Lonchura striata: one gene and its partners. The protein of the gene in region 3 purifies or fractionates together with the protein of the main gene of each other region. This does not show direct contact. Links are inferred from orthologs where the notes say so. Each region holds a gene or a part of one and is shown on either strand. Other genes may lie near its edges. The genes, in order: E2F6, MGA and L3MBTL2.

Evidence for each region.
Region 1: the proteins of L3MBTL2 (region 3) and E2F6 purify together in Homo sapiens (affinity purification with mass spectrometry; 5 studies listed by BioGRID and IntAct, counting the BioPlex papers as one, with this or other methods). This does not show direct contact. The link is inferred for Lonchura striata from reciprocal best matches to the Homo sapiens genes L3MBTL2 and E2F6.
Region 2: the proteins of L3MBTL2 (region 3) and MGA purify together in Homo sapiens (affinity purification with mass spectrometry; 3 studies listed by BioGRID and IntAct, counting the BioPlex papers as one, with this or other methods). This does not show direct contact. The link is inferred for Lonchura striata from reciprocal best matches to the Homo sapiens genes L3MBTL2 and MGA.

The regions. Positions count from the first base shown.
Region 1 is NC_134605.1:99,935,543-99,946,360, reverse strand, and holds the start of E2F6 (transcription factor E2F6), read left to right. Parts: upstream 1-6,201; 5' UTR 6,202-6,381; coding exon 6,382-6,447; intron 6,448-8,468; coding exon 8,469-8,522; intron 8,523-10,314; coding exon 10,315-10,363; intron 10,364-10,818. UniProt on the Homo sapiens protein: Inhibitor of E2F-dependent transcription. Binds DNA cooperatively with DP proteins through the E2 recognition site, 5'-TTTC[CG]CGC-3'. Has a preference for the 5'-TTTCCCGC-3' E2F recognition site.
Region 2 is NC_134608.1:37,051,648-37,061,780, forward strand, and holds the start of MGA (MAX gene-associated protein), read right to left. Parts: upstream 4,157-10,133; 5' UTR 4,022-4,156; intron 964-4,021; exon of another isoform or gene 847-963; intron 1-846. UniProt on the Homo sapiens protein: Functions as a dual-specificity transcription factor, regulating the expression of both MAX-network and T-box family target genes. Functions as a repressor or an activator.
Region 3 is NC_134607.1:25,002,132-25,012,774, reverse strand, and holds the start of L3MBTL2 (lethal(3)malignant brain tumor-like protein 2), read right to left. Parts: upstream 4,570-10,643; 5' UTR 4,514-4,569; coding exon 4,493-4,513; intron 3,084-4,492; coding exon 2,816-3,083; intron 2,613-2,815; coding exon 2,479-2,612; intron 1,804-2,478; coding exon 1,680-1,803; intron 754-1,679; coding exon 674-753; intron 1-673. UniProt on the Homo sapiens protein: Putative Polycomb group (PcG) protein. PcG proteins maintain the transcriptionally repressive state of genes, probably via a modification of chromatin, rendering it heritably changed in its expressibility.

The DNA of each region.
Region 1 (10,818 bases), on a different chromosome or scaffold from region 3:
AGAGATGTCACATTTGTCAGCACAATTTCTGAAGGTCAGAACTTCTTTCTGATGGTCAGCAAAGGAAGCTTTAGAATGGACCAATCATTTGGAAGTAATGTATCAGCAGGACCAGAGGTTGTTTACACAAAATCCAAAACTGCTGAACTACCAAGGATGAAGACTGTACATTTCTGGACAATCTGATCCACAGCTTCATTATTCTTATGTTGGAGAACAATGGGAAAAATTTCCTTTTCTCCGTTTTTTTCCCCCAATTTCAGATAAGTGTTATTCCTTTCAAATGACACATTTGAAAAGGCTACAGCAGAACAGAAAAGCAACATACAAGAGTGACTAGAGATTTAAAATAACTTCCACACACAACAGATTACATAGGTTAGGAATCTTGAAATTGAAAAACTGGTAACTGAGCTGATAAATATCTATTGAGATATTTAGTTGAGAATAATATAGAAAAAGTGCACTGAAAATAAATTATTTCAGTTTCCCATAATACAGGAATTACAGAGTACCAAATTACATGATTGGGGAACATATTTGAAACAGAATTACTTCATTTTTCCTAACAAGCTAAAATCATGGAATTCACTGCTGTAAAAACTGATTATTTTTCCTTTCCTGAAATTATATAAATTGTCATTTTCAATTAATAATTTATTATTATTCATTAGAATTTGCCTTCTGATAAGAACCAACTTAAAGTGAAGGAAGCTCAAGGAGACCTTATTACTCTCTACAACCATCTGTAAGGAGGTTGTAATGAGGGAAGTGTTGGTCTCTTTTTCCAAGTAATAAGAGATAGGATGAGAGGAAACAGACTCAAGCAGCACCAGAGGAAGTTTAGATTGGTTATTAGGGGAAACTTCTTCACCAAAAGGTTATCAAGCTTTGGAAGAGGCTGCCCAGGGAAGTGGTTAAGTCACCATTCCTGGAGGTATTTAGAAGATGTGCCAATGGGGCACACAGGGACATGGTTTAGTGGTGGACTTGGTAGTACTGAGTTAATAGTTGGACTTGATGATGTTAGAGGTCTTTTCCAACCTAAATTAATCTCTAAGGTTCCTCAGTATTGTAGGCAAAACTGCCATTCCTCAAAGGTAAAACAAAGGTATTACCATTCAGCTACCTTCCATTTTGCTTGTTCTGGAAATGTGAGAGGAAGGGAAGGATGAGAAGAAAAGCAGAAAAGTCTGCTTAGCTTTAATCCTCTGGTGCTGGGATCTCATCTCGCTGGAGGCCTGGGACCTGTTCACAAGGGGTGTTACTCCCTGATGGAAAGACATGGAAACTCATGGAAGACTGGGGCTGGACTAGCAGAGCCTGGAGGAATGCAGATGCCTCAAAAATGGAAACAAGTACCTGAGTTTCTCCAGTGGTTTCCAGTGTTTTTTACAGCATCTGTATACAGCTCGTCTCCCAGTGGCAGGTAACCCACTTTCCCAGAATCTCTTTCTCCTACACCTTCCCTCAGCACAAACAGGTGCCCCAACATTTCTCATCCATTTCAAGTTCTCACTGCTTTAGAGTGAGAAACTGGAGGAAAGGATGGAAGTGGCCAACGTACTTTGTGTTAGGCTTGAATTACTTTTCTGCATCTTGACAATCCCACTATCAGTGAACGTGCTGAATCATAAATCTCACTGCACACATAACAGCAAGCTACTCTAATTTCAAGTAGGTACTGTATAACACTTTTTCACATTGTAAGAAAAATAATAAAATAAATTTTTAAAAACTCACCCTAAGAAAAAAAAAACAAATCAAACAAACAAAAAACCCAGAAAAAAACGCAAAAAACAAAATTTAAAAACCTAAACAAAACGAACAAAAAAAAAATCCCACAACAAAAAACACACTGACTTCAAGGATACTTTTAAACTCAGGATATAATGACAACCACCTTATGAGGACATACTTCAACTTTTCCATACATTTAAAGTTTACAAAATAAATCCATCAGTGAATTCTGCACCTCCTCTGCCACAGAAAAGATACAAACAAAAAATATAATAATGACCTTTTGCAACAGGAATCTTCTTCTGTTGATAAATTCCTTACCATGGATGAAAACTTCCAGCAGATTCTGTAAAGACCTTTGCCTAGAAATCCCCAGGCTGTGTCAGACAATGGCAGATGGCTTACTGCCAAATTTCCAAACCTTCCTAAGAACACAATATTCACTGAACTTTTTCAGTAAGACACCAGTGTTCATATACAGTAAGTACTTGCTATTTACACAACCCTAATGTCACCTTAAGGGTTCTTTTTCCATCTATATAATTTCTTTACTAAATTAGAGGTAGAAGAAGCAGGAGCTTCAGTTTATATCATGAACTAACTCCAATGTCTCCAACAAGATACCACATCCATGACTTTTAAGTGTCATTCAGGACATGACAAAAATGAATGCCATTTAGCACTGTTCTTCTCTGATCTGATTAACTGACTCAATCTTCCTCATACACAACAAAGTGAAGAAATAGGAGATCTGCCTTCTTAGACTAAAGGATGACTATTTTCCATGTATACAGGAAGATTTTTTTTCAGGCAGATTAAGCTGAGCACATCAAGAAAAATTCTACTATTGCCAGAAACAGATTTAAGTCATTGCATTTTACAGCATAAAAATGTATACCTTTATGCCTAATAGTTATGCAGTGGTGAGGACCTTAGGGAGGCCTGGAAGCTTCTACAGACTGACATACTAATATACAAAAAAATGGATAACTCTATAGCCCCATGTAGTTCAAACAGGTATTTACAGCGATTGCTGTCTTTCATGATTTTGTACTTTTTCAGGAATATATTTCCTCTGGCTCATCTTTTCAGCAATACATGTGCACCTAATGTAAGATCCAGTTACAAGATTATTGTCTTGAAAGGAAAGATTTCATTTAATACAGAGCTGTAGAGTTTTACACAAGGCAGCCTTGGCTTTAAGAGCAGAATGCTGTAACCACTGTACACATAAAGAAAGAAAAAAATCATATAAGGGTATAAGGTACTCTTTAATGGATGTATTTCCAATTTCAGAATCACATATATAGGCTAATAAATATTAATAGTATATTAATGCAGCAAAAAGTAAAAGAGTGGGAAAATAATATGATTAAAACAAAGCTTGAATATTACAATGGCAATATAAAAACCACCAAAAAGCTCATACTGCGTTAGATACAAACCATGCACCATTTCAGTGCTGCATGAAGTTTACCAGTAAAAACTTTTACAAAGCAGTCAAATTTCAGCTGCTCAGAATAAAACCTACATGCCTTGCCTAAGTAGTGCATGGCAAAGTATTTACCATGTATTTACAAGTAATTTAAGAAGCATTTTTAAGAAACTTATGTTTTGCCCTTCACATACAGTCATCTAAAAATATTAGTGAATCCACTATTCTGGCAGGTTTTGATGGTAAAAGATCAGATTTAGGAAATGAATTATTGCCCCCTGGTGGCACTTTAAGAATCAATGTAATGATAAAGAAATCAATTTCAGATAAATAAGCAAATAACTTTTAAGTATCCTGTTTTGTACAATTAATATCTGGAGGTGTTAAAAGAATGCACAGTCATTTTAGTATGTATTAAGATGACAGTAAATGGGGTATAATTTACATTTTCATCTTCATGATTATTCTAATAAAGAATGTGTTATGTTTAATTATCAGTTTTGTAAAATGTAAACAGTAACATACCAGAATAAAACTCTTTATCAGCAGACTGCCACAGCAAAAACTCCTGACAGTCAAGCAAACTACTTCAACATCTAATTTTTACTTAAAAGAATATTAAGTCTTTTTAATTTTCATATAAATATAGAAAACACTTCCCGAATCTGAATCCAAGTGAGGCTCTTCTTCACTCCATGAGATAACATCAGCAGGCAAGGACAGAGAAGCACGGGAACAACAGGATTTGATCTTATGACTGGCTAGAACAACAGCATAGTTAAACATTGATGCAATGTTTTCCACATGGGTTAATACAGGAATTCATGTATCCTAATCCTCAAATTATGAGTTGTTAACATCCTCCTAACGTCTGTCCAGCCAACAGCCACCAACTCCTATTCAATGACTTTAATACTGCTTGGCACTTTCCTTACATCACCTCAAACTAACATGGCCCTGAACATCTAGTCCAAATCATTTTGCTGTTCCAGGTGAAAAAAACTTGCTTTATCACAGTGGGTCTATACAATCTGTAATTGCAATGATAAAATATATCTTCCAGAATACAAAAAAGAGTAGAAATATTCATTCCTCATGGAACTACACATATTACCACATAGAAATTACCAATTAGGTTATGTTGCACATACAGAAATGAGCATTTTTACATTTTAGTGTAATCACGTGTCCCTTCCATAATAGGAAAACCTCCACCTGCAGCAGTCTAACCTTGCCTTGCAATACTGACAACCAGCATTTGCATGACATCTTTAAATGCACAACTCCCAATCTCCTGAAATACAAACATCTTGTCTTTGAGGAGCTGCAATATATTTTTCCCTCTTTTATTTTTGTTGATTCATTAGAGCATGAAAACAACTCACCTCAGTTCTACACTTCTCTACAAGGTCAATTATTACCATGGAAATACTTGGCTGAAAATTTATTGCTATGAAGAAAACTCCATTCTCTATCTAGGCATCTGATATATCACTGGTGATACCATAAGCTACTCTAAAGGAACGTCCAACTGGAAGGGCTATGAAATACATAGTAAATGAAAATTAATTCAGTATTTATTCAAGATAATATAGTATTAGTTGACTTGTTTGGTCTGACATATTAGAGTATGAATAAAGTTCTTCATGGCTTTGAATTCTTCATACCAGACTAGCAGTTTTACATGTCTGATGAAATCAGGACTAGAAATTTCACCTGAAATGTGGGTGGGAGAAGCAAAATAGTTCATAATTCTTAAAGCAAAAGAACTCCATGACAGACTTACCTGCTGTAGAAGAGAGTTAATTGCCATAAAGAGCAATTAAGCAACAAATGGGATACCTAACAAGGATCTGTGTTTTAAAGAAATGTTTTTGTCTTGACAAACAGAAGTTATCTATGCAACTGGCAATTTTGAGACTACTGCTGAGGCTGGCAAATGACAAGGTGTCAGTGCTTGTAAAACATTACCAGAAGTGTGGAGGAAAGGGCAGGAGCAATGGAACTGGGACTTGGGGAAGGATGTTGCTGCAAGGTAAATGTACAGGATTAGTGTGGACATGCCACATTTGATGGCTCCTGTCTGGCCCTAGAGGAACATACCTTGCCATTCACTCACAAACCTCTTGTAATTAACTTATACCTGACACAGGCATTCTAGCCATGTCTCCCCTATGAGTGACACACATAGCTCTGGCTGCCTTGCACTAGCAAGTATTGACAAAACCAGGTAATTTGGCAGGGAGTCAATACTAATTACTCTCACTCACACTTGCATGGCAATGCTCAGCCAGAATGCTCTCTCCCAGCTCTTGCTGTTACCTGAAGGAAAGAGAACCCTCTCCTCGAGGGGAAGCCCTGTGAGGAGTGCCCGAGGGGAGGCCTCACTGCACTTTCAGCTTCCTTGGAGGGGAACAGGAGGGGCCGACACTTCTCTTTGGTGACCAGGGACAGGACCTGGAATGGGAGGTTCAGGTTGGGTATTAGAAAATGGTTCTTTACCCAGAGAAGCAGTGGTTGGGCACTGGAACAAGCTCCTCAGGGAAGTGGTCACAGCACCAGCCTGCCAAAGCTCAAGAAACACCTGGACAGCACTCTCAGGCACACGGTGTGACTCTGGAAGTGTCCTGCGCAGAGCCAGGAGCAGGACTCGACGATCCGTGTGGGTCCCTTCGAACTCGGCATATTCTCTGATTCCTCCCTTAGCCCACGCTGGCTGCTGCAGCGCCCAGCGCCGCTGTCGCAGAGGCGAGGACAGCGGCGAGGGGGCCGTTTCCTCCGCCGGCCCGGCAGGCTGACGGGAGAGGAGGTGGGGAGGAGGAGAGGTGGGGAGGAGGAGAGGAGGGGAGGTGGGGAGGAGGAGAGGAGGGGAGGTGGGGAGGTGGGGAGGAGGGGAGGAGGGGAGCGCGGCGCTCGCTGAGGCGGGGCGGGGCCGGGCCGGGCGGGAAGGCGCCGCGGGGGCCGATGGGTAACGGAGGGAGAAGGCGGCGGCGCAGAGGGGAGGGCGCGTGCGCGGGTCCCGCCCGTTCCCGCCCCAGCGGCCGCCTCGGGCGGGAGCCGCGGCCATGACGGGCAGCGATGAGGGTGGGAGCAGCCCCGCGGCGCCCCGCGCCCGGCCGCGCTTCGGAGCTTCGGTGTGAGGCCGTCAGTGCGCTCTCCCTTCTCCAGCGCCTCGCCGCGGGGCGGGGAGGAGGGGCCGGGCGGACATGGCCAGCCCCGACAAATGGGAGCGCCTGAAGGCGCTGCAGGCGGACATGCTGCGTGTGAGTGAGGTACATGGCGGGAGGCGCTGCCCGTGGCGGGGGAGAGGGCGGGACGGCGCCGCAGCTGCGCTCCTGCCGCGGGGCTTGGAGGAGGCGGCCGGAGCCCGTCCTACGTCTCTGGGCGGGAAAGATGCGGCGGGCCCGGCAGCGTGGTACCCGAATGGAGCGCTGGGTGCTTCCCTCCCGCGTGACGTTGGGATGGGCTTCCCGGGAACGGCGCTAGAATGCAAAAGGATGGTTTTTCTTGCCTGTGTTACCTACAGCCTCTTAATCGAGCTAAATATGTTGTAACTAATTATGAGAAAAGGGGACTACAATGTGTTTTCTCCTCTTAATGTCTGCGATCATCTTACGTGCAGCTGCCCCTATTACCTTTAGCAATGCTATGAAGTAGTTAGCAAAAAAGCATATTTTATAAAACGTTTTTTTTTAAAATGTTACATGGTTTTAGTTAATCTGGATGGTGCATACTTTTAATTTTGTGAAATGTTTTAAATGTATTATTTTTTTAAAATTAATCTTGTCAGTTGGACTAAAGGTTACTTGATAGTATTAAAGCCATGAAAAAATTAATGTAAGGTTTTAGGTGATGTAAGTATTAATGTAAGTTTTTAGTTTTAATTGAAGTGATGATTGTAAGAAGCAAATTATGTTTGGCACAGCTTCTTCATGTAGATACTTAGATGAGTGTATGATGGGTGATAATTTCCTTGATCAGCTTCTTATAAACCGAGAGGTCGATATGGTAATCATTAACAGCCTTGCCTGTGATGGCCATGGAATAGTGGGTGTGAATTACATCTAGTGTAGGCACTGCCCAACCCTTGGGATAACAAAAGGGAACAGAGATGGTCTCACTGCTAAGGTGGGCAAAGAGAGACACATGGGGAGACACAGCAGGAGCAGAGGACTCGGAGTGAAGAGCAAGATTTATCTGAGTAGACTATGAGGGTATAAAACCTTAGAGGTTCCTTTGCTGTGTGTCCCTCTTTGGAGGTACCAGCTTGGGCTGCTTCTGTGTTGCTGCACCTTGAATAAATTGCTTTATGGAGAGACATCCGAGACTCTGCAGTGGGAAACCTGGGGTTGAACCAGTGAGGAAACATGGCCTGACTGCATGAGTGTGGTGTGTAGGGAGTCAAGAGGGCCTCCCAGTAGCACACTGAGGCAGTCCACCATGAAGGGGCTTCAGGTCCAGCATGAGTCTTATGAATGGTCAGACTGGGAAGTTTTCTTAACAGTGGGATATTCAAGACCTTCAAGCCTACTACTAAGGAAGGCTAGTAGTAAGGTGCAGAACCTGGATTCCAGCTTACTCAGTCTTCAAGGCTCCAGCTTATTCTGGCAAGAGGTAGGTTGAGATTTTTGGGGAGGCAGCTTTGGAAGCTGGAGGAACTGAAGAGATGGGAGATTAGTAAGGAGAAACGTTTCATCGTGACACTTATGGCAAAAAGGACAGGACAGAAGAAGGACTAAAGAACAAGAATAAGAAGTGCTTGGACATGCAGATGTGATGCTTGGAAAGCCAAAATAGTAGTGTTGAAGCTAGCAAGGAATGTCAAAGGTCACAATATTGAAGAAATTTCCCTGTCTGACCATGCAAGAGCCACTTTTGTCAGTCACTCTCACACCACCTGAGCTGGGACCGAGGCCCCTTTGCAGCAGCACCCCCACACTTGCACAGACAAGCTCTCTTCACCAAATTGACCCCAGGTTTCCCATAGCAGAGTATTAGACATGTGGATTCTTAAAATAACTTAACAACAGCTGGAACAGGGACCCCAGACAAAGGAAACCTTGGGCTTGTATACCTTGAATTGGGTTTTTGTGGTCAGGTTTTGATAGTAGGTGAGGCCTGCAGGGTGGCTTCTGTGAGAAGCTGCCAGAAATTTCCCCCATGTCCTGCAGAGCTAATGCCAGGCAGCTCCAGATTGATCTAACACTGGCCAAGGCGGAGTTAATCAGAGATAATAGTAGTGATTACATATTTAAGAAGAGGGAAAAAAGTTACTATACAATTGTAATTACAGCCAGAGAAGAGTGGAGTGAGAATATGTGAGAGGAACAACTCTGCAGACACCAAGGTGAGTGGAGAAAGAGGAGGAGGAGGTGCTCCAGGTGCCTGCTCTGCAGAGACTCCCTGCAGCCTGTGGTGCAGCCCATGGTGAAGCAGCAGCAGCCCATGGAGGACCATGGGGATGCAGAGATCCACCTGCAGCCCATGGATGAGACCCAGGCTGAACAGGTGGATGCCTGAAAGGAGGCTGTGAACTTGTGGGAAGCTCATGCTGGAGCAGGGACCCGTGGAGCCCATGCTGGAGCAGGCTTTCTGGTAGGACTCATGACCCTTGACCCACACTGGAGCAGGCTGTGCCTGAAGGACTGCACCCTGAGGAAAAGTGATGGACACTGAAAGAGTTGGTGAACTGTTTCTGTGGGATGGACTCATACTGGAGAAGTTAATGGAGGGTTTCTTCTGTGGGAGGGAACTCCACACTGAAGTAGAGGAAGGACTCTCCACCCTGAGCAGCCACAGGAACAACATTTGATGAACTGACATAACCCCCATTCCCATCTCCCTGCACTGCTGGTGTGGAGGAGGTAGAGCTTGGGAAGGTGGGAGGGGTGGGGGGAAGGTGTTTTCTTAAGATGTGTTTTATTTCTCATTATTCCTCTCTGATTTTACTGGTAATAAATATAATATTCTCAAGTTAAGTCTGTTTTGCCCATAATGGTATTTGGGGAGTGATCTCTTCTGGTCCTTAGCTCAACTCACAAACTTCTTGTTACATCTCTTCCCTAACCACTTGTGGAGGGGAGTGAGAGCAGCTTTGGTGGCCTGGCAGGGTCTATCCTAAGGTCTGTCCTGTTGTTAGGTGGAGGATGTGAGGTTTATAGGCTGGAGGAAGGAGTCATCTAACGCCTCATGAACCTGGGAAGTTGAAAATCAGGATAAAGCCTTGCCTTTACCCTGCAGTGGTACAGGCTGGGGACCACCCTATTGAGAGGACCTGGGGTTCTTCATGGACAGTGGGCTAAGTGTGCACCTGCATTGTGTCCTGACATTAAGGCATATGAGGCTGTCTTAGCAGGAGAACAGTAAATTGAGGAAAATTATTCTTTTTCTTTATTTGAAAGTATATTAGATTGCCCTTGGAATGCTGTTCCTGATTTAGGTCCACTAGTACAGGAAGGCTGTTAATAAACTCCTGAGAGAACTTGTTAAGCCACAGCCACCCTTCAGTAAAATCATAGCATCGCCTGAGTTGGAAAGGACCCATAAACATCATCAACTCCTACGCCAGCACAGGGCAATCCCAAAAGTCACACCATGTTCCTGAGAGCATTGTCCAAGAGCTTCTTGAACTCCGGCAGTCTTGTTGCTGTGACTGCTTCCTTGGGGAGTTTGTTCCAGTACCCAACCACCCTCTGGGTGAAGAACCATTTTCCTAATATCTAACCTAAACTTCCCCTGACAAGTTTCATTCCATGCTTGCAAGCAAGTGAAGAACTTTAAGAGGTTACCAGATATTTCACAGTTGTACATGATGGGTGATTGAAAGGAAATGGCCATGAATTGAAATAAAAGAAGCAAGAGAGGTTGCAGCTTGCCTGAGCATCAGCAAGTTCAATGGTGTTTCCTGTTTTTGAAAACAGAGTGAGTTCTACTGAGATTTAAGGGCTGAAAATTCTGGCAGGAATTAAGGCACATGTATTCCTTCTATCTAGTGGCACATCTTCACAGTAATAGCTGTTGAGTTGTCAGAGCTGTGATGGCTGTAACGTTTAAAGAAGATTTGATGATTTCTTCTGAAGAAGCTCCCCCTGTACACAGCATTTTATGATAGTTGTTTTTTTACCTTTTTATGTCCTCAGGCATCAATGATCAACCTGAATGTGCACAAAGACACACAGCTTGTGAAAAGTAAGTTGCTATGTGTCATGTGTGAAAATTAATCTTGCAGTATGTGCCTTTCTACAATGTGAGTACAATGCTGTAGACAAATTAGAAATTGTATTTAATATCAACAGAGTAGGAAAGATGCTGAACACTGACTGAAATAACAGATGTGAAGCAATACATTCTTTATAGTTTTTCCTCTTCAGATCTGTTCTAAGTATACCTTCCCACTGCTATATTAAAAATAATACATAGGAAAAGTGAGTTATAGAAAATTGGAACAATGTACTAGCAACTGGTGCATTTCAACTGGTGTTAATAAATGTGGAAATAAATTTAAGTTAGTTTCTGGGTGTTGGGGGGTTTTTTGTTGTATTTTCTCACCAGCTGAGTTGTTTCACACATTTCACAGTAACACAGTCCAAAATGGAGTTGTTGAACCCATCCCTTCATGTTACAGAGTGCACAAACTTGCAGCC
Region 2 (10,133 bases), on a different chromosome or scaffold from region 3:
CAAGCATTTAAAGAGCTGAAAACCTAGTGATGCCACAACCAGAAGTGTTGTGCAACGTGCAGACTAAAAGAGTTAAAACACAAAAAACGTTCTTTCTTTAGACAATGTTTTTCTACTTTGGAGAATGATTAACAGTAGCAACCCACAAGGAATTCTGTTAATCTAACCAAAACTCTGGATTAATTTGCATTTAGGAAGGTATCTAGTCCCATTTTCTATGCCATAACCAGCCTCACTGGCCTCCAACTCCTTCTCCAGACCAGTAGTAGTCTCCAGAGCTTAATGTTTGCTGTACATGGATGTCTCTAAAAATTTTCAGCATCCATCAGCTACAGATCTCTGTTCTTATGCAAGAGAATCAGCCCAAATTTACTTTCAGAAATTTACATAATGTTATTTTTGATAGGAAACTAGCTTAAATTATTTTCTTAGCCTTAGTAAAGAAATATAGATTAGTGCCAAGAAGACAAAAGATTAAAGTGGTGGCAGAATCTAGACAAAAATTGAGATCAAGAAAAAAAAATTATTGAAAGAAATGGACTGTTGCAGGAAAAAAGTTTTTCAGTCATTTTAAAAATGCTTTTAGCTTTCTTGCTGATGCAAAGCTGAAGAAACACATGCTCCAACTGCAGTCAGAAAGCACTTATGCTCACAAAAAGTCTGACACAGCTTGTGCACTGTCAGCTTTCAGCCCAGAGTCTTGCTTTACACTAAAACCAAATTCATGTCACACTCAGAGTCTCAACTATTGCAGGATGAATAGGTGGTAGTTCAGAAAGTGCTTCACAACTGAGAGCTACACGCCTGCAAGAGCAGCAGCTGCTTTTGGAGGAACAAGGCACATACCTGGGAAGGCAGAGGAAAGAGAAACTCCTGCTTCCCCACTCCAACAGCCATACCATGCCATGGAATCCAAACTTCCAGCTGCCCATAAAGTCAGTCGTTTTTCAAACAGCATTAATCCTGCAACATACAATGTATACAGTATTTTGCATCTCTCAAGAGCTACCTGAACTTCTGGGAAACACTTCCCAAACACTGAAGATTGCAAAGTGGAAATGCACCCAACTGGATGTGGCAAACACAGTGCCATGGTCTAGCTGACAGGCGGTGATGGGTCAAAGGTTGTATTCCATGATTTTGGAGGTCTTTTCCAACCAAAATGATTCTGTGATTTCTGTTAAGAATGAATCACTGGTGAGAGGCCAGGGGGGAAAGTAAAGTTAACTAATAATAAATGCTCTTTTTACCTATATACAACATGTTATATTTAGGTTAATGTATTTTACATTACTTCCTATATTTCAGCAGTGAGTGAGATGCCCATTGCTCATACATTCAATGAATGCTGTATTTGTTAACATACTATTATTTCAACTACCAAAAATCACAAAATAAAACAATGAAGTAATGCTTTATGCTTTTTGCCATGCAACACTGGCAGAAACCAGACATAATCAGCAGGAATAGCACCATTTTGATAAATTTCAATCCCTTTATGGCCATCATAAGGAACATTTATCACATACATGAATCTTCAGCTGGGGATCTTGTCCACATCATAGAAGAAAAAACCAAAAATGACGTAAATAAAAAGCCGTCACCCGAGTTCAGGACTGTCCTACTTATCCAGTTATTTTATAGCAATACTCATTGCTACAGAGTCACCAGTGGTTCAGCAAGTTAGAGCTGCCAAGGAACCTTTATTCCCCTTTTAGGGGGAAAAAGAACGTGACACTCATTCAAGTCCAGATCATTGGTGATGTGCTCCAGGTTTATATCCCTCTTCATTACTGTTTATTGACTTACCCTGGGGTCATAAGACCACACCAAATTAACAGAAAGTACTGTACAAGAGTTAGCAAAACAGCACAATTCCAACATCACAAATATTTGTTTAACAGTATCTGGGTCACAGTCTTGTCATTGTCCAAACTGGCTTTTCCTGACATTGTCACTGGAACAAAGATTGCATTTTTATTGTAGATAGGTTTTATCTAGTTCCCATTCATTTTCTCTCTTTTATGCTGTTCACATTCCTTTAATGCCTTTCTGTTTTGGGCTTGATTAAAAAAAATAAAACAAAAGAGCTTTCTTCTGGTTGCTTTCTTCTTATGACACACCTTCATCATCCTTCTCTCACATATCATTCTCACTGCATTCTTCCTTATTCAGCTCAGCAAAGGATTTATCCCAGGTACTAAAACCAGACAAAATCCAACAGTGAAAGTACATACCATCTTTGTATGGAAAGAGAAGAGCAGCTCCACCATCACCATGATTATTTGTTCTAAGGTTATCCAGTGTTAAGAAAGAGTAACAAAAAAAGCAAACCAACACAGCACAACACATCCTTAGTTATGGAAGAAAAAGACAAGAGGAAAGCCCTGCTAGTGCCACAACTAGTGGCACTGCTCCCTATGCACATGCCATGACTGAGTGTTCTTTTGTAGATCCTCTGCTGTCTATGAAACAGCAAACAGACAACAGCCTCCTCACAAAGAAGAGCTCTTTCTCACTCCAGTAGGCAGAGACCTATTTCATTGCGTTTGTAAGGAAAATGTCTTGGACTTCCCATTTCTTAAGGTTGTTTTTAAAAACAATCACGAGCTTCACAAACAATCTAGTGGATTTGCATATAAATGAAGAAGCAGCCTACATTCAAAAATAATTTCCTTTTTTTTTTTTTTTTTCCTGGAAGGTAACCAAACAAGTTTATTCACCACTGGTTTCCTCTAGTTGCACGTTTTCTCCCATGGCAGGAACAACAGCATCTGAACCGATACTGAGCCAGCAATGGGTGAGGTTAACAGCCATCTGCTGTTAGATGAAATACGGAAGTGAATGAATGCTGCCCATCTCCACCAGACCTAAGAAATATGGGTTTTTTCTCCCTATAAAAAGCTGTACAAAAATGCTCACCTATGGGAACACTTTTGAAGCAGAATAAATTTCCCTTTCCAGTTATCTGTACAGATTCACAAGGCACTGTGCCCGAGGGCACTGAAAGGGTGCTGCAGCTGCATCGGGCAGAACAGCTGCAAGCAACAAGACCAAAGCTTCAGCCTGCCCCTCTTCTTTAAACTGCCCTCGGTTTTCAGTCTGCAGCAACTTCAAATCTTCGGAGCTGTAGCCCATCTCATCAAGTGCGATTACACACGGCCCATGCCTTCACACAGTTCACGTCGGGAGCAAGGCAGCGTGACTGTTGTGCAAGATTTGACAATGAGTCAGGCAAGATGCTCCAACCACATACTGGGAAGCCACTCATCTCCCCGGGCTGCTGAAACAGCCGCTGGCCCTCGTGCCTAGCCGCTCCTCACTGAGCTCGCCTTCGCGCTTCGACTCCCTTCTAAACTCACCAGCTCAGTGCGAGCGGTTCCAAGCAGGGCAGCACCGAGGGCCGCGCGCCCCCGCGCCCGCCCCCGCGCCCTGCCGGGGCGCACGCGCGCCGCCCGCGGGCCGCCCCGCCCCCGGCCGGGGGGCCCCGCTCCGGCCCCGCCCAGCCCGCCGGCCTCTGCCACCCAGGGGGCACCGGGGCCGCTTCCCGGGAAAGGCTCTCTCGGCGCTCCAGCCCCGTCTCATAGGTGGCGCCGGCCACGCCCCCACCGGGGGCCGATCCCTCGGAGCGCGATGGCTTAGGGAGCGGCGGCAGCTGCCCGGGGCCGGGCCTCACCCGACCCTTCCCGGCTGGAGAGCCCGGATGCCGCTCGGTCCCTTTAAACAATCCCCCCGGTCAGGTGACCGCCGGCCGCTACCCATTGCCCGCGCCCCCGGGTCCCGCCCGCTCGCACCCCTGAACAGAGCGGCGCGGGGGCGCGCCAGGGGTGCGAGCGGCCGCCGGTCCCGCTCCCGTCCCGCGCGCGACCCCCTCGCCTCAAACGCGGGCGCGGCGGCAGCGCGCGGGCAGGCGGCGCGCGTGCGGGTGATTGGGCGGCCGCCGCGCTCACGTGACGCGCGCACGCCTCGCGCCACCTCGAGTGAAAAACTTCCGAGGGAGGGGGGGGCGGCCGGCTCTTACCTGAGTCCGCGCGCCGCCCGGCAACGCCCCGGCCCACGCGGCCCTCGCCCGCCACGCGCGACCTCCTGCCGCCCTCATTGGCCGCCGCGGTCCATCACGTGGGCCACGCACGTTCCCGGGCCCTTCCCCCGGCTTGTCTCCCGCCCCCCCGCGAGGCCGGTGCCGGAGCGCGGGGGGCAACGGGGTCCGGCGGCGGCCGTGCGGTGCAGCTGCCTCGCGACGCCCCGCCAGCGGCGCGCCGCCGATTGGCCGGATCCGCCCGTCGACGCAGTTCCGCTCCCAGGGCGCCGCCGGCCACGCCCTTCCCGCCCCTCCCCCGGCCGTGCGCGAGGGATAACACGCTGCTCGCGCGTGGGGCCGCGCGGTAGCGCCGCCGGCGGCCGCGCCCCGCGCGCGCCCTTCCCGAGGGACGGCCGCGCCCCGAGCGCGCTCCCGTGGCCGCGCCGGCCCCGTGGGCGCGCTCCTGCCGCCGCACCGCACCGCCTTCGGCCGCCTGCGGCGCCTTCCCGCGGCTCCTCGTCTTTCCTCCGCCTTCCGCATTCGTGAATCACGGAAGAGGGGCTCGTGTGCTGCGGGGTGCGATGTTCTGGCGGTAGCTGGAGCTACGAGCGAACGCCGAAGGAGCGATGCTGGAGTGCAGAAGGATTCCCACGCTGTGGGTGCTATTGCCGCTCGCACAAGGCTCTCGGACCCGGCCGGGCTCCCGGGGACGGGAGTGTTTGTGGAGCTGCACGCAACTGCACTCACACCCATCCCCGAGTCACCGGGAAGCTACGTGTGAGCCGAAAGAGTTAAATAAAAACTGTCAGCATAGGGACGTACTCAAAGGTGATTCTGGAGACTTATCCAGAAAGCCTTTATTTGGTGTACAGTTAAATAATGGAACAAATGTTGATGGGAAAAAAAAATACAGAAATCCCCGTGAGCTCTGGGCAACATGGACGTGTGCAGGTTGGCTGAGCTGTGTGGCAGTTGTAACCGAGGGCAGTAGCTGCATCAATGAGTACGGCCAGGCCTCCCGTGCAGTCTTGAAAAATAATTTCAAGTTGTCTAAGGTAAAGGCAGGTCACATGTAATGGAAACCAATTTAAAATTTAAAGAAAAGCTGGTGACAAACAGCACCATAATGTAGCCCTGGGCTGAAATTTCTGTGTTGGAGGTCTTGGCCTGGAAAGGTGCTCAGTCATCACAGCAATCTGCATTCCCCAGGCATTGTGACATTACTGAGAATGTGTGGCAGTATGGCTGGGGAGTCCATGAGGGATGTAAAAGGGGAAGTGTCTCATTAGGCAGAGATTCATATTTCTCCAAACTTGAACTTTGCATTGAATTGATACCAAATTGAGTGGTTGGTTCTCAGATCACTGAGAAGATCAAAGATATCTTCCCTCACAACTTACATTATATTTGAGGAATCTGTATACAAAGGTTGCAGATACATTAACTGGTACATAAACTTTTGTTGGGCTTTTACAGTCTTACAGCTGAAGTTCAGAAGGGTTTGGGTGTCAATGGAGAAAGCACTGGTGGACTTAGGACATGTCTTTTTGGAATTTCTGGGCTGATTTAGGGATAGCTTCTTTGAAATTCTGCTGCTATAAGGGATAAAATGCCCAATTCTCAGCTGCGGGATCTGTTTTAGTTAATAGGCCAAACAGAGGAAACGCCGCCCAAATAAAATGTACTGTTTGATATTTATATGTTTGCAACATCATTACAGTTAAAGGATAAAGAAGTAATGCCAAGGCAATCAAAGATATTGGAGTTGGAAAAATAAAAGATAACACATGGAAGGGAAGTAAGTTTTCAATAATCTCTCAGGAGGAAAAGACATTATGACTACAGTAGTTTTGAAGGAAACCTGATGGTGTTTGTGAATATTACAGCAATGAGCCAACTTCGTGTAACAGATTAAAAAAAAAAAAAAGAAAATTTGTTGTTTTGGTCTCTAAGTGCAAAAAATATCTTTTATTGGGAAGAGGTAGATCTCACAACTGTTGTGTTGAAGAAGTTCCTATGCAAGTTAGATTGAGAAAATCTAACTTTAAAAATGTACACATCATTTGAAACAGAGGTGCCCAAATTACAAGTGAGGTTTTGCAGAAAAAAACTTGTTTGTTGGCTATTTTTTTTTTTTTGAAAGTTAATTATTGGGAAAGTAAAGATCAATAGAGATTGAGGAACCTTAAATAAGCAAGAAAAAGAATTATCCTCCTCTCCCCCTCCTTTCCCTTCTGAATAAAACCTTTTAAAGGGGGAAGTGAAAAAGGGCAGTCAGTACCTGTTCTTCCAGGGCCCTGTCTGCCCGAGGACCACACTGCTCTTCCACATCATCTGTTTGCCCAGAGGCCCACTCACTATCCCATTTCTCTCCACTCTCCTGTTCACACATCGTTCACTGTGGGCCTCTTCACTTGAAATCAACACCCAACTTTTTCAGCTCTTCCATCCCCACCCATCCTATTAAGAATTATAAAATGGGCCTGGAAATCCAATAGGACTGTTCCCACCGAGGAGCATATTTAGGAAATAAGGGCTTTTAAAAACTGAGCAGAAACAGGCATATCCTTTTATAAGAATAAATTACACAGGTTTTGAGTGGGCTGAGCTTGTGGGAGGAAGGAAGTGTGATACAAAGAGAAAGGGTGGTGCTAAATCTGGTCTATGCCTAAGGCTGGCATTTTATTGCCAAACTCATTACCTGCTCTGTTTATTCATGATGACTGTAGAAATCCAACCCCTATAAACAAATTTCTCCTTTTAATAATATCCATTTATAATTAATCAAAATGTAAAAATAATTACATTTAAATGACAATAATTTCATTTAACAACCACCACAACCCTCATGTTTGAAGTATGTTATGTAAATGCTTTAATCAATCACTCAAAGCCTGCAAAATGTCAGATTAAGGATGGAACTTCCTGGGCACTGAGCGAGTCAGGATCATATGAAGAAAATAATGTGTGAATTTTTCATGAAATCAGCATTACACACATGGGAACCAGATAAAGATCACTGAGATAATTGTGAAGCTGACATTTACTAGCTTTGCAGCATGGATTTTGTATTCCAAATAATGACCTTCATGGAAAGGGTTCATTGATGATGGTTGCTTTCTGAGGTTTTCCCTTGGTTACATTGGAGCTGCTGCTATTGTGCCTCCTTGTCACAATTTAAACCCGAACCTTCCCCTTATACTGGTCACCAGAGCTGCACATTACAGTGCAATTGTACAGCAAGAAAGGTTCTTCTTTCCAAAGCCAGAGGCCAGGAATCAGCAGCTGGGACTGGAGAGGTAACGTTGGGAGGAAAGTCTGTCCAGCTTTTTTTAATAATTCGACAAAGAAAAATGGCAGGCAAAGCAGAAGACGTGCCCCTAACTTCATTGCTGTTTTTGTTTCACAATGTGATAAAGCCCCCCAAGACCTCATCGAGGTCCAGACTGCTCCCCCTTGCAGCCTTCCCTCTTTAGTCTTCCTGTCTCTGGACACTCAAAGGAACCTGTGCTTCTGAGGCTGGGCTTCTGCTCTCTCTTTTACACAAGACTGCAAGGCGGCCAAGTCCTCTCCTTCTCAGGGATCGTCCCAGCTTCCCTCCACGAGGACCAGGGACAATTGCGACCTCCGAATTCCCAAGATGTTGCCTTCCCCAGCCCAAAGAAAGCAGAGGTGAAACAAGGCTGCACTTTAGCTCCTCACTTCAGTCATTCCACAGAGAGCTGGGGGACCTGCGGCAGCACCCACAGGAGAGGAGCTGCTGGCGCGTCTCTGCAGTTTACTCCCGGCACGGTGTTTATTGAACGCAGAAACCCCTTGGGAATGCATCAGCGGCGAGACGCTGGGATTTGGCTTTCTTGCTGTAGGCGAGTTCCTAAAGGGCACAAGGTACCTTTGGGATCTGGCCAAAGGCTATCGCTCGCCGAGGGGAGCAGCCCCGACCACCCCGGAGGAGCTTTTCCAGCCTCGCTGTCTTTCCCAACTGCTTTGTGTGCCGCAGTTTTGGCTCTTCTGCTGCCACAAGCCTAGCCGAGCCTAGTCTTTTGTCCTTCCTTTTCCCGTGTTGAAGGGACCGCAGCCTAACAAAGCCTTTCCTGCCAGAATGGTTCAAACCCACCATCCCCAGACCCTGGGCTGCCCCTTCCTCGCGGTGACACCGCACGCGAGGGGTTAAACATTCCCCCAGGCAAGCCCGAGGCAGGAGGCTGCCGGAGCAGCTCCCGGGTCAGATCGCTATCGCAGCGCTACCGACCCGAGTCCCGCTCGTAGATGGGGCGGGGGCCGGGGCACAAACCTGCCCCGAAGCGCTTGGGGGGCGCGGCGTGCGATGGGGGCGGCGGCCGCCCTGCGCCCCAGGGGCCCGCGGGCGGGCGCGGCCAGCGAGCGCCTCCGTCCCCCGGCCCAGGGCTCTTCCACGGCCGTACACGCGCCGCGGGAGCCCCGGCGCCGGTCGCTCGGCATCCACGTGAGCACGGAGCTGTCCTGGAGCCTGGCAGGAAGCTCCGGCTGCAAACCGCTCGCACACGTCTGCCAGCGGCGGTGCGAAAGCAGCTGCGGCGCGGAGGCACCCGATGCCAGCGCGCCTGGCTGAACTTCCCGACAGCACCGAGCCTCTCCTGGCTCCTAGAATTATTTGCTTTTAAACTGAAAATGGCGGTGATTTCTCAGATATGTGAAGCCAGTAGTTTTCATGCTGCAGCATCCTCATTTAAAGCAGTTTTGGGAGCCCCAAACGATATTACAGATCTAACAGACAGACTCTACCCGTGCCCTGCAGCTTCTCCCGGTGAAAGGAGACATGAAGCAGGCACACTCGTCCCTCCTGCAAGAGGCAAACTCTGCCCCCCCAGCCCAGACTGCCACTGGCATACTAGGGTCAAGGCCTTCAACTTCCCCAAAGCTGGAGGCCTACCCGGTGGGTAAGAAGGAGGAAGGAAAAGGGAGAGGGAAGAGTAGAGGAAAGGGATGAGGCAGGCATCAGGCGCTGGGGTGCTGCTCAGAGGCAGAACAGTGGGGTCACAGGTTTTCTGGGTGGGTTGGAAACCATTCTTAGACCATTGCAGACCATCTAGAAGCTCCTATGCATTGGCAAAATTTTGTCCTCCCCAACAGTGTTTGAGTGGCAAAATTTTTGCCCTCCTCAAGGATGTCTGAGGGGAGCTAAAGGTATCAGCTGCCCCATTTGAGCGTGAGGGCACCTCCCAGCCCCAGCAGTAGTGCCCTGGCAGGACTAAGCAGCAGGGTGGACAATTCTGCCATTCAAAGCAACTCACTGCCCTAAGCACTTTTTGTGGGTTTACTACCCACATCCTACCTCTGAGGCTGATGCAAAGGAAAAAATAAAGCTCCTGAGGCAGGCATGCAATGCAGAGACCAGCTCAGACACCCAGCAGCAGAGCACCAGCTCTCAGAGTCTGGCCTGAGGCAAGGAAACTTGCTCAAAAAGCTACGGCTGCATCAGTGAGCAGTGCAGTCAGAGCATGTTCACAGATCAAAGCCATTAGCATTAGCAGCCTGCTGCTTGTGCTGTACCAATTTGAGCAGGGATGGTTTCCTCAGTCCAGCTCCTCACCAGTCTGGGAAGTGGCAGCCCTTGGGTAGCCTGTGAGCAGTTGATGCATTCTCACAGCCCATCTCACAGCATTGCCTCAGTCAAAACTCCCCCAATCAGTGTGAGAAGGGACTGTCAGGACAATCACCATGAATGCAGCATCCTTACCTAAAACAAGGACATGCTAAGGTGCCCACTTCAAGTCAGTGTTTTCATGTTACATATTTCACTGAAATGTTTCCAGAGAAGCTACTAAAAAGGCACAGACAAGGCAATTATCAAATATGCAGTTTCTTCATAGATGCTGCTGATAAACAACACACCACATCAAAAATCTGCACAAGCAGCTTAGGGCACAAACAAGCAACGAACTCTGTATGGTCTGAGAGCTGGCACTTGAAGATGTTTCCGCATCTCTCACAAGCCTGCTTCATAGAGAAGCTCACCAAATCTTTATCCAGAAAACTCATCAGGTTTTGCATGCTGAATGTCAGTGCAAGCAAAAATTACTAGTCTGGGGCCAAATTCTCATTTCAGTTGCTCCCTGTAGTTTTGCAGGAG
Region 3 (10,643 bases):
GTTAGAGTCAATATAAAAGCAAACCTTTACTTAAAAGCTTTCAGATACACAATACGGCAAAAATTACACGTGGTACAGTAATTCTACAGTTTTTATAAGATTAGTCAATTAGTATACTTAGCATTTACTGTCAAGTTAAAATGTTAGTTGGTTAGGTAATAATTCCTGGGGTTCTGACCCACTGGAAACAGTCCAGAGGTTTCTTTTGCCCCATTTTTGTTATGCCTGGTTCAGATTCTGGTTGGAAAACAATGTCCTTGTAGTTGGTTGTGTTCTTGGAATAAGACTATAATATTTCTGAATGTGTTTATAAGATTAGCTTATTGTTCCTACATGTAGGGAAGAAAACCGGGAAAAATACTAGAAGCTACAGCCATGCTTTAGCAATCTACAAAGCTACAAATACATGAAAAACATAAAAAGCTAAAAATCATACGCATCACTAGCACCAGGGTTTCTACCACGTCCCCCTCTGCTTCCTTCCCCCAAAACTCCTGGACCCTTTGTGAGACTCCCATTCTCATCTGCAACAAACCCCAACTTCTTTTCTTGCATCACCTGATCTCAATAATGCCCTGTTGGGCCTCTATTCACCACCTGTCGCAGGAGCACAGGGGGGCCCCATGCATATGTGCCCTATGTGCCCTGGCATACACAGCAAAGTAGAACTCACGTGTTTGAAACAACTGACAGGAGCTGCCTTGTAGCCGTGCTCCTGCAGGTACTTTCCCCAGTCAAAGCCCAGGACGAGTGCTACAAGCAGACATGAGAACAGAAAATCAGATAAGATGACAACAGCCACAGAGATCAGTTACCTCTGGACTGCAGCCTGCAGCCTTCAGGCACTAGGACACAACACACAGGGATTATGCATTCCACTGCATTTTCTCTGGTGGGAAACTAGACCCTATGTGAGTGCAAGGTCACTAACCACCACATGAGGCAAAATATTTTACTAATGAATATTTACTGTCACTTGCTTTTGGAGGAGCAGAAAGGGCAATAAAAGCGGTCAAGTCCAGCCCAGGGCTAAAGCACTCCAAGGAGAGTGCATTCTTTTAGGGTTAAACCACTTCACATTTTGCATCTCAGCTGCAACACTGCAGGGTCCTATCAGCAGCACTTGCTTTCCCAGAGGTTGCTGGGAAAATCAGATACTAAATTGAGAGATTAATCCCGCAGTCATCCTGGCTGCAGGCTACAGCTCCGCTCCAGCAGCAGACTGCTCAGGGATCACTCCCTGCTGCTGCCATGTCCCGTTTTCCCTAACACAGTAAGTTACTACTCCTTCAGCTGCAGTGACTGGTTTTTGCTCAAAGCGATCAGTGGGTGACTCGGGGCAACCATGAGGAGTGGGGCAGCAAATGGCTGGGAGAAACAGGACACCTTTAAGTCAGCTTTGCCAGCAGAAGTCAGTACCTCATGGAACTGGGACCACAGAGCTAACACTCCAGGTTAAGTCATACGAGGAGTGAGGATGAGGCTACAATAGTGGATGGGCAGGAAGAGGAAAAAAGACATGCCCTGTGTTCTGCCAGCTTGTGTCAGAGCAATCCACACACATCGCACAAAGAAGTGTACCAGAGAGGAGAAGGAGGACTTCAAAGTTTATATCCCTCAAAGTCTCCCCATTCTTTGACTTCAGAAGCTGCACCTCCTCACACCTCATTTACACTCACCATCCTGACCTGTCAGTGTCCCATCTGCCAGCTGTCCTGTGCCCTGTGAATGGAGGAAGGCCCCGATCTTAGCTGACCAGGATGCCTTGTGCAGAACTTTAGCTTTCTTCGTTGGTGGCTTCCCCTATAAAAGAAGAATGATTAGAAACATTAATGGCACAGGAGACTAAGCCACTCTCTGGAACTGGGCATACATCTCTTCCTTGGGACAATTTTCAGTCTACTACAGTATTTATTAACACTCACAGGAACAAGAAACAGCAGGTAAAATACATGTGTGTCCTTTCTCAGCTCTTAGGGAACACCACCTTTAAGCTGTCATGCCTTCTCTGGAGACTTCAGGAAGGAAGAATAAGCCACTGGGACTGTCAGTCTGATATTCAATTAAAGAGCAACCCTACATAAAGGCAGATCCTGCTCCATCCCCAGGAAATCTCACAGAATTATAGATTCTCTCTGAAGAGCTGGAAGTATGCCTTCCTAAAGTTCAAGAGCATGACTTTACTCCTTAGCTGACCTATATTCCTCAAGATTAGAAATTCCACCAATGCATGACCACTGCAACTAGAGCCACTGCCTCTAGTCTTGACCAGCAGGTCTACTGTTGCATTCTCTCTGCTACAGCTGTCTATTCCTTGGCTTAAGAAATTATCCCACATACGTTTCAGGAGTCTCCTGGATTACCTACAGCCTGCCATGCTACTTTCTGTAGGTATAGGAGTGGTTGAAGTTCCCCAGCATGACATAAGCCTACAACCATGATGGAGCCAGAGAGCCAGCTGGAACAGTTTTAACGTACCTGCAGTCTGGCCAGGATGCTGGCCTTTTTGGAATTTGAGGAGTAGCTTCTGGAGCAGGAGACGCTGCAGAAACGTTTAGTCTTGGAGAAGAAAGCCTCCCTGGTGCCCACAATCCCACACATTTCGCACACAGCTGCAAGAAGGAAGGCCAAAAACGTGAGGATTTTGCAGAGTCAATGCACCACGGTGACAGAGCTGAGACCAGCTAACCATGATTATACAGTGCAGATCCCCCACATAGCCCAATAAATGCAGTCTGAATCCAAAGTTGCTCCCAAAGCATCCCCACACACCTTTCACTGCCCCTGAACATACTTCAGGCAGCACAGGCAGTACCTGGCTCGGAGCCATTGTCTTCTGTGAGCCGGCCTGTGGATGGCTGGTGCATCGGAGATGTTGAAAGCTCTCCAGCTTCCCGGTCTGCCACCTCATCATCGCTAGATTCCTCCAGACAGGAGCTGCTGTCACTGCCCATGCTGCTGTTGTAGCACGTGAGGCTGTCATAACCCCCAAAGATGTCCAATTCATCATCCTCCTCATCAGCATCACCTTCCTCCTCCACCCGCTCCAAAGATGAAGTTTTGTGGCCAAAGGCAGACACCATCTAGAAAAAGAGCCAATTTACTTTAAAATCAACATTTTACACCCCACTGCACAATAAACCTGCCTTTGCTGCTGGAGGAGGCCCTCTTGGGCCAGGGAGTGGCCTCAAGGCAGGCAAGGAATCCACATAACAACCCCAAAGGCGGGACTCTGAACTGCCTTCCCCCAAACAGATCCCTTTACTGGTATTCAACATGCTGCATTCTGCTTCCCAAGAGAAAAGTGCTGTTGCTAGATAAAAAGAATCTTGAGGAACATAGAAAATACAGGGCAAAGCACTGCCTTGCTGATGAAGACAGATGAGACTGCGTCCTTCCCGGCAATGTTCCTCCCAACATAGTTGCACAGCATAGCAGCACAGAGACCATCACAATAAAGCCAGCACAGACTTCCACAATGGAGCACAGGCTGCACGTTCCTGCCACCACAGCTCACAAGACCAGCACAGCCTGGAAGTCAGCAGGACCAACTCAGTCCTGGAGACAGTTTATGTCCTCTGAAAACTACAGAGTCCACAGCTGACCTCGGTTCAGAAACTACACCAGCAGGATAGCAGAACGTTTGTATAGGTTTTTGTCTAAACCCAGATGCCTCCACAGCTAAACATCTTCACTGGCTCTTCGCAGTTGCTGTTACAGCAGGAGAGCTGCAAGGCAAAGACTGAAGAAAGAGCACAGAAAAACAGTGTGTCTCAGACTAGAAGAATCTTGAACCAGGCTCCAAATAAGCATAAAAGAAACTAGGAAAATATGTTAGCAACTCATGAAAGAGCAGCAAAAACAGCATCAGCACAGGAAGTGATGGATCAGAAAGGCAGATTCAAACAGCTACATGAGGCAGGAGGATACCATTGTTCCTCCAAGTGGGCAACAACAAAAGATCAGCAGAAAGCCTATCACCTTCCAGTGCTAAATTCCCTCTGACCCCTGGCTCTAGCTGTCATTATAGACACGTGGTCAGGAAAATCAGACTTCACTCACTGCTGTCTCCCCGCATCCTCCCTGGCTTTCACACAACACAGATCCAAGGTTCCCAGGTTATTCCCTGAACAAAGAGTTCCTGTCCTACGGATCCAGGCCCTCAGATAGCATTCCTGATGTCTTGAAAGGCCTGAACTCTAAAAAAACAAATATTTTCATCGCCTTCTAGTCCCTGTGTGGGTGCATTTTACACCAGCTCGTAGGACGTGAGCACCATTGCATCGTTACTCTTCCACAACAGGCGAGTGAAACTTGCGGATATTGTTACAAGTCCCCAGGGCTGCCAAGCAAAGGCAGCATCACCCGGAGCCTCCTCGGCAAGCTGAGGGGGACGCGGGGGCCCATCGCGTCGGGATCAGAAGGACCCGCCGCCGTCCCCAGGAGCAACCCAGCCGGGGCCCCAGAGGAGCCCCCGCCGCGTCCCGCTCACCTCCCTCCGGTCCCGCTCCATGGCCCCGCCACGCCAGCCCGCCTCACGCGCCTGGAGAGCGTCCCCCCTGAGCTGCGCGTCCGATTGGCGAGAACAGCGGAAAGCACAGCAAATCAGCGGGGAGTTTGTTCCCGCCGCTCTGCCCGCGGGTCATGACGGGAGCTGTAGTTCTTTTCCCGCAGCTATGGCGCCTCGCGGCGGTCCCACCCAGGAACGGGCTGGGCTCTGCTGCCGTCTCCCCGGCTCCGTTCTTGCTTGTGGTTCGGTATTAGCCCACTCAGTCCCAGAATGGCTTGGATAGGACCGTACCCTAGAGATCATCCAATTCGACCCCCCTGCGGAGGGCAGGGTCATTTTTCACTAGAACAGGTTACCCAGAGCCCAATCCAACCTGGCCTTGAGCACTCCCAGGGATGGGACATCCATAGTTTCTCTGTGCAGCCTGTGCCAGTGTCTCACCACCCTCACAGTAAAGAATTTCTTCCTGTATCTAATCTCAATCTGCCCTCCTTCAGTTTAAAGCCACTAGTCCTTGTTCTGTCATTATCTGCTCATATAAAAAGTCCATCTTCCTCTTTTTTATTACCCCCCTCTAGGTACTTTAAGGCTGCAGCGAGGTCTCTCCAGAGCCTTTTCTTCTCCAGGCTGAACAACCCCAGCTCTATCAGCCTGTCAAGAAACTTATGTAAAGGTAAGCCCCTGGAGGCAGTTTCCATTTTCCACCCTCTTATTTTGTTATCATTGTCACTGTGTTGACGTTGTAGGAGGAAAAAAAAAAAAAAAAAAAAAAAAAAAAAAAAAAAAAAAGGGCTGTATTGAGCATTCCTAGTGTGTATGGACTTTGTAGTGAGTGGCTGAACAAATAATGTATGAAGCACAACTGCACAGTCTTAGCTGCAGGTGGGAGTAAAGCAGCATGGAAAAGGTTCATTCCAAAGGCTCTTCCAGACAATCCAAAAGCTCTAACATGGGGCTACAGCCTGTAGATATAAACACAAAGAGATGTCACTATCCATATGAAACACGCTGAGAATCTGGGATAGTGGTCACAGCCTAATTTACAGAGGGAAATGTCAGGGAGCTGGCAAAGCCACTCTGCAAATCAATCAGCAAATTTCCTTAGCACCAGGGATCCTCCACATTCAGGTTTTCCAAGCAGTCCTCCACCAATGTTAAAAATAGAAAATTGCTGTAAAATAGTATAGTTAATAATGAAATAAATCATAATGACGGTTATTCACTTGTAAATACTGCTAGACATTGCATGGCATTGCAGACAGCAAAGCTGTTTCCAGAAAAGACACAGTACAAAATTAAAGGCTCATTAAGTCTTTCTACTGCAATAATCTTTCATGGAACACGTTGTGAGCTATAACTGGTGTGCACCACCTGCGCCCTTCCCAGAGTGGAACAAGCAGGTCACACCCTTAGGTCACACTCAGGCTGGCTCAAGGCTTCTTGAAGGCTTCAGTAGAAATGAGTCCTGTGTTCACACAGAACAAGCTTTAAAAGGGAAACCCCACACCACAGCTCTTCATTTTTCATTGCAGTTCTAAACAATCCTTTTGAATAAATAACAGTATTTAAATAAATTCATTTTAATGTGAATCAAGTTCAATTTGATTGAGGAATACTTATATTCTTTTCAATAATAAAAACTCTGTTATGTAACAACAATCAAAACTAACTCCTTTCTTTAGAGAGAGAACAGCACTGGCAATATCAGGTAACTAAAACCCAACTCTTAGATTACACTTCACTTTTCCCATCTCCTTCCCTACTGCTGTTCCGGGCTTGGTCTGTGTTTTAACATAATCTGCAATAAAAATTTTAGAAAGATCAGTATCAAAGGGCTGCTGTCAGGTGCAATGACAGAAGGAGCCCTGGCTGCAATGGACAGGGAGCCAGGCTGCTTCCTCAGGCGCTCAGATCCAAGGTGTGCAGCTTTTGTACTTCAGCATATACTCTGCCCCTCATTACCACAACTTCTTTCAGGAGCCTTGTCTCACTGGCTCTTTGTGCTTGTCTACTGCGACTGTCCTCTCACCCATGCTCTGGGATGCAGAGCTCATGTTTCAGACCCCCAGTCTTCATAAATTCATCTGCTACTTCTCCAGAGCCTCCTTTTTCAGTTTTCTCCTCTGTTATTGCAAAGAGCTCATGAGAATCCTGTGCTCCAGGGGCTTTTTTTCACTTCCAACACTAAGTGCCAGCCATTCCACTACAGGCCTTCCAAATTCTTGTGTGTAGGCTCCTCCTAGCTGACACTGTGAAAAACCAAAATACTTTGAAGGGTTTAATTTTTGTCATGAGCACTGGGAAGGGAACCATTTTGAAGAAAAAGTATTCATAGACACGTAAGCTTTGGCCATACATTCATAGTACTGTCTTTGAAAAAGGAAAATAGGGTAGTGAGCTGGGAAAACCAAAAAGCAAACAGAAGGAATAATATAAGGAAACGTATTCTGCTTAACCTTTGGCAGACTAATTTTACCATGGTAACTGAAATGGAGAGGCATGTCCTGCACTATGTATGACAACAGCCTACTTGCGGGTGGGAGATTTGAGCAGTTGCTGTTTTCTAGATCTCTCTTGTGGGCCGAGGAGCTTGCAGAAAACCCTCGTCAGATCAAAATGCTACAGTAATGTTCTTCTGCATTTGCAGCCACTTGTCACAAGGTTACACTATAGGATTGACATAGTAATTTGTATAGTGACCAAATAATCCAACCCCAGACCCAACAGGCAACCCAGTTAAGGGCACAAATACTAAACTAGCCTGTCCTTCCTTGCTATTTTACTATCACATTAAATCTGTCAATATATGTCAACACAACTCTACATACAAATACTAATGAAACAGTAAATAATTTTTGTCCAAATTAAAAAAACTCAAACAAAAAAATAAGGAAACAAAAAACCAAAACAAAATCCCAGAAAGCAACTACAGCCAGTTCCAAGGCTATCCTGACAAGGAGAGGGAAGAGTTAACTGCCTAGGAGATCTATCTTGGTTTGAAGCGCTTATCCCATCCCAGACCCCCAAGAAATCTGGCTTTTGAGAGCTGAGCTGTGCTGCCTCTTGATCCCTCTACAAGCTTTTTAAGGAAGACATGGGGCGACATTGTACTGGGAGCTCATTTCAGTGCCACACTGGTGTGGGACAGTACAGACAATGAAAAGCAGAAGTGAAGAGGAAAATAAAATGAAAGACTTTTTGCTTTTCAGGGCAGCAGAAGCTCTGCACTTTCAGCCAGAGGATCAGGATTGGCAAAGAGCTTTCTTCTGGTAATGACCTTTCAGTTCCTGCTATTGCCCTGGGGACTGCAGGGACATGAGGAGAAGAAAAAACATGTGTTTGTGGTTGCCTCCCATATAACTCTGTGCTCCCAAGATACACTAGAGCCTGCCACCAGCCAGCACACCTGGGGAAAAAACCACAGTCTGAGCTGTGCCAACTTCACCTGCAAGGCTGACAGCAGCTGAGTAGCTCTCCAGCCATGATGCAAACACAGATGCTGCTGCAACACCTGAGGATGGAACGTGTTGTGCTTTTACACTTTCAGGGGCCAGGTTATGCTGTGTCTCAGGCTGGGATCTATGGCACAAAATCTGCTTTGACAAGCTGAGGGAAAAAATGGCTCCTTGGGCAAACTGGCAGATACCCCAGTATTGTAGGAAGGCAGTAAAAATAAATATTCCCCAGACAGAGCACCCTCTGGCTGTCTTCAAATAAAAGCTCATTTTTAGGGTAGTAAGCCTCATCACATACTTAGGCAGAATTGGTCATTAGGAGCAGACTCTTCTGATTGGTGCTGTCTTTCACTACAGGATCTGTTCCAGATTGTCCAGAGAGGATAGGCTGGAGTCATTGAGTTTGGCTGAAACTGGAAGCAGCAAAAAGACCATCTTGGAAACAGGAGGTGGAGTTTCTTGCAGGGAAATTGTGTATCATATACTGGAAAAATGAAACAAAAGCTGGAATGGCTGTCACTGTCACATCATCCACCTCAGCCTTGTCATGGTGCTGCCACTACTGGTAAGAGGCCACCAGCTCTGCTTTATGTGAGACTTTGTCAGGCTTTGCCTGGGCTTGTCTTGGCCTGCCAGGAGCTGCCATAGCTCGTTTTGCTGTTACAACAGTTGTCTAATGACCAGGTGACTGCTACCAAAATCATCTTCGGTTTTGTGCCAAATAGTTTGGGCTACCCAGTACAAGAGAGACATGGGTATAGTGAATCCAGCAAATGGGCAGCACAGTGATGAGATTAGAGCCTCCGTCAGATGGAGAGAGGCTGAGGGAGCTGGGATATTGGAAGGTCAAACATTAGAAAGTTTACATCACTGAACTACACATTATTTGAGTACAACCATTAGCATCGTTGTAACTGGACAATCAACATCTGACTAGATTGCTAGAACTTTGGGTGTGAATTCTTTTTGGTAGTCCAAGAGTCTAATAAATAGGAGTGAAACAACCTAACTTGGACACAACTGAATGGCAAGAGATACAGATGACACCCTAATTTTGTTCTCTCCCTGAAATCCTCCCACTACTAGAAACAGCCATAGTAGTGCTCCAAATGGTGGGATCTGGTTCTCTAGAAGAACCAGAGAAAGCAGAAGTAGAGGGATGTCAGGAAAAAAAACCCTATGCAAATTTTAGACTCTTGATCATCCACATCACCTCAAAAACTGAACTTGGCTCAGTCAGCACCTTCAAAGAGGGACAGAGTAGCTGTGCTGTCACATAGAATGCATCATGGCATCTTTCAAGCAAGTCTCTATGTTGGCATTTGAAGTTGGAAGATGTGTACTGTGCTCTGCAAGGTTCCAGGACTTCCCCACTTCAGATGTTTTGATTTGTCCTGCAGGTCAGGACAAATTCTAACCATGGTTTGTGTGCTAACTCAGTGGCACAAATGAAAACTGTTTGCACTAAAACCATGTATGTCAGAAGGCTGGGCAACTTTTCACTTTACTAGCCTCTATGTGGTCAGAAGGAATTTTACTTATGCTCCATCCTGAGAAGTCCCCCCCAAGGCTGAAAGCAAAACTAGGCTTTGCTTAGTGGCAGGGAAGGAAGAGGAAAGCTTCTAGAGCACAAATCTAAACAATCCCAGGCTGCTGTCCTGGCTTTCAATAAATGGGGCTTTTTTTGCTTACTGCTCTCCTTTAGGCCAAGAGCAGTCCCTCCCAATGCACCAGGGTAATTGTGGGCTTGGTGCAGAGCTGGTTTGCACCATGCTGGGGTGAGCAGTATGAGGTTTAGCCAAGGGCAAACACCAAAGCCCAGGGCTGCTTTCCTTAAGCCTACCACAAACTTTCCACCATCTTGCTGAAGGCTTGCCACCAACCCCTTTTTAAATACAAGATTCATTGTCCTAATTATGTTTATATCCAAAACCCAAGCATTTTACTCCCACATCCATTCACATTGCAATACACCACTACTTTTATTTGGCACTTACCTCCTCCATTGTCTTCCACGAGCAGTTTCCTGGGTCAGCTTGCATGTGTTACCTGTCTGGGATCTGCAGATACACTGATCTTCCCAACACAGCTGGCATTACACAGTTGTGCTCTGGTCACATCCGTGGTCCCATCTGGGTCTTCCAGGTGCATAATACCCTGGTGGAGAGTCATTCCCTAGGCAGCTAGTACTGTATACACACGCACACCATAAGGCTGGATTTTGGAAAGCCCTCAACGAACCAGCCACATCCACCACAACCAGTTTGAGCACAACACACGACATGACCGAATTAACTCCGTGTGAGCAGAGCTGTGGGCAGCACACAGCTGGACTCACTGCCCGTGCGCTCCATGGCGACAGCACTTCTGTTTGGGAATGCCTCTGCGCCCAGCAGGTCACCAGATGTGACCCAGGGTGACTGGGTACCCATACACCATCCCGGTGCAGCACCTGCCTGCAGGACATCCACACAAGCTTACCTCATGCTCACACATCAGTGCCAAAAGGCGCACAATGTACTCCAAGTGAAATAGGATTTTTAATATCACATATCCAAACAAATAGTTCTCATTTCAAAATGCAAAACAGGTCCTTTGAAGATCGGCTGCTCCCAGGCTGTGTGAGCAGGGCGGGGTACTGCTGACTGGCACAACTGTTGAGGTCAGACCTCGTTTCT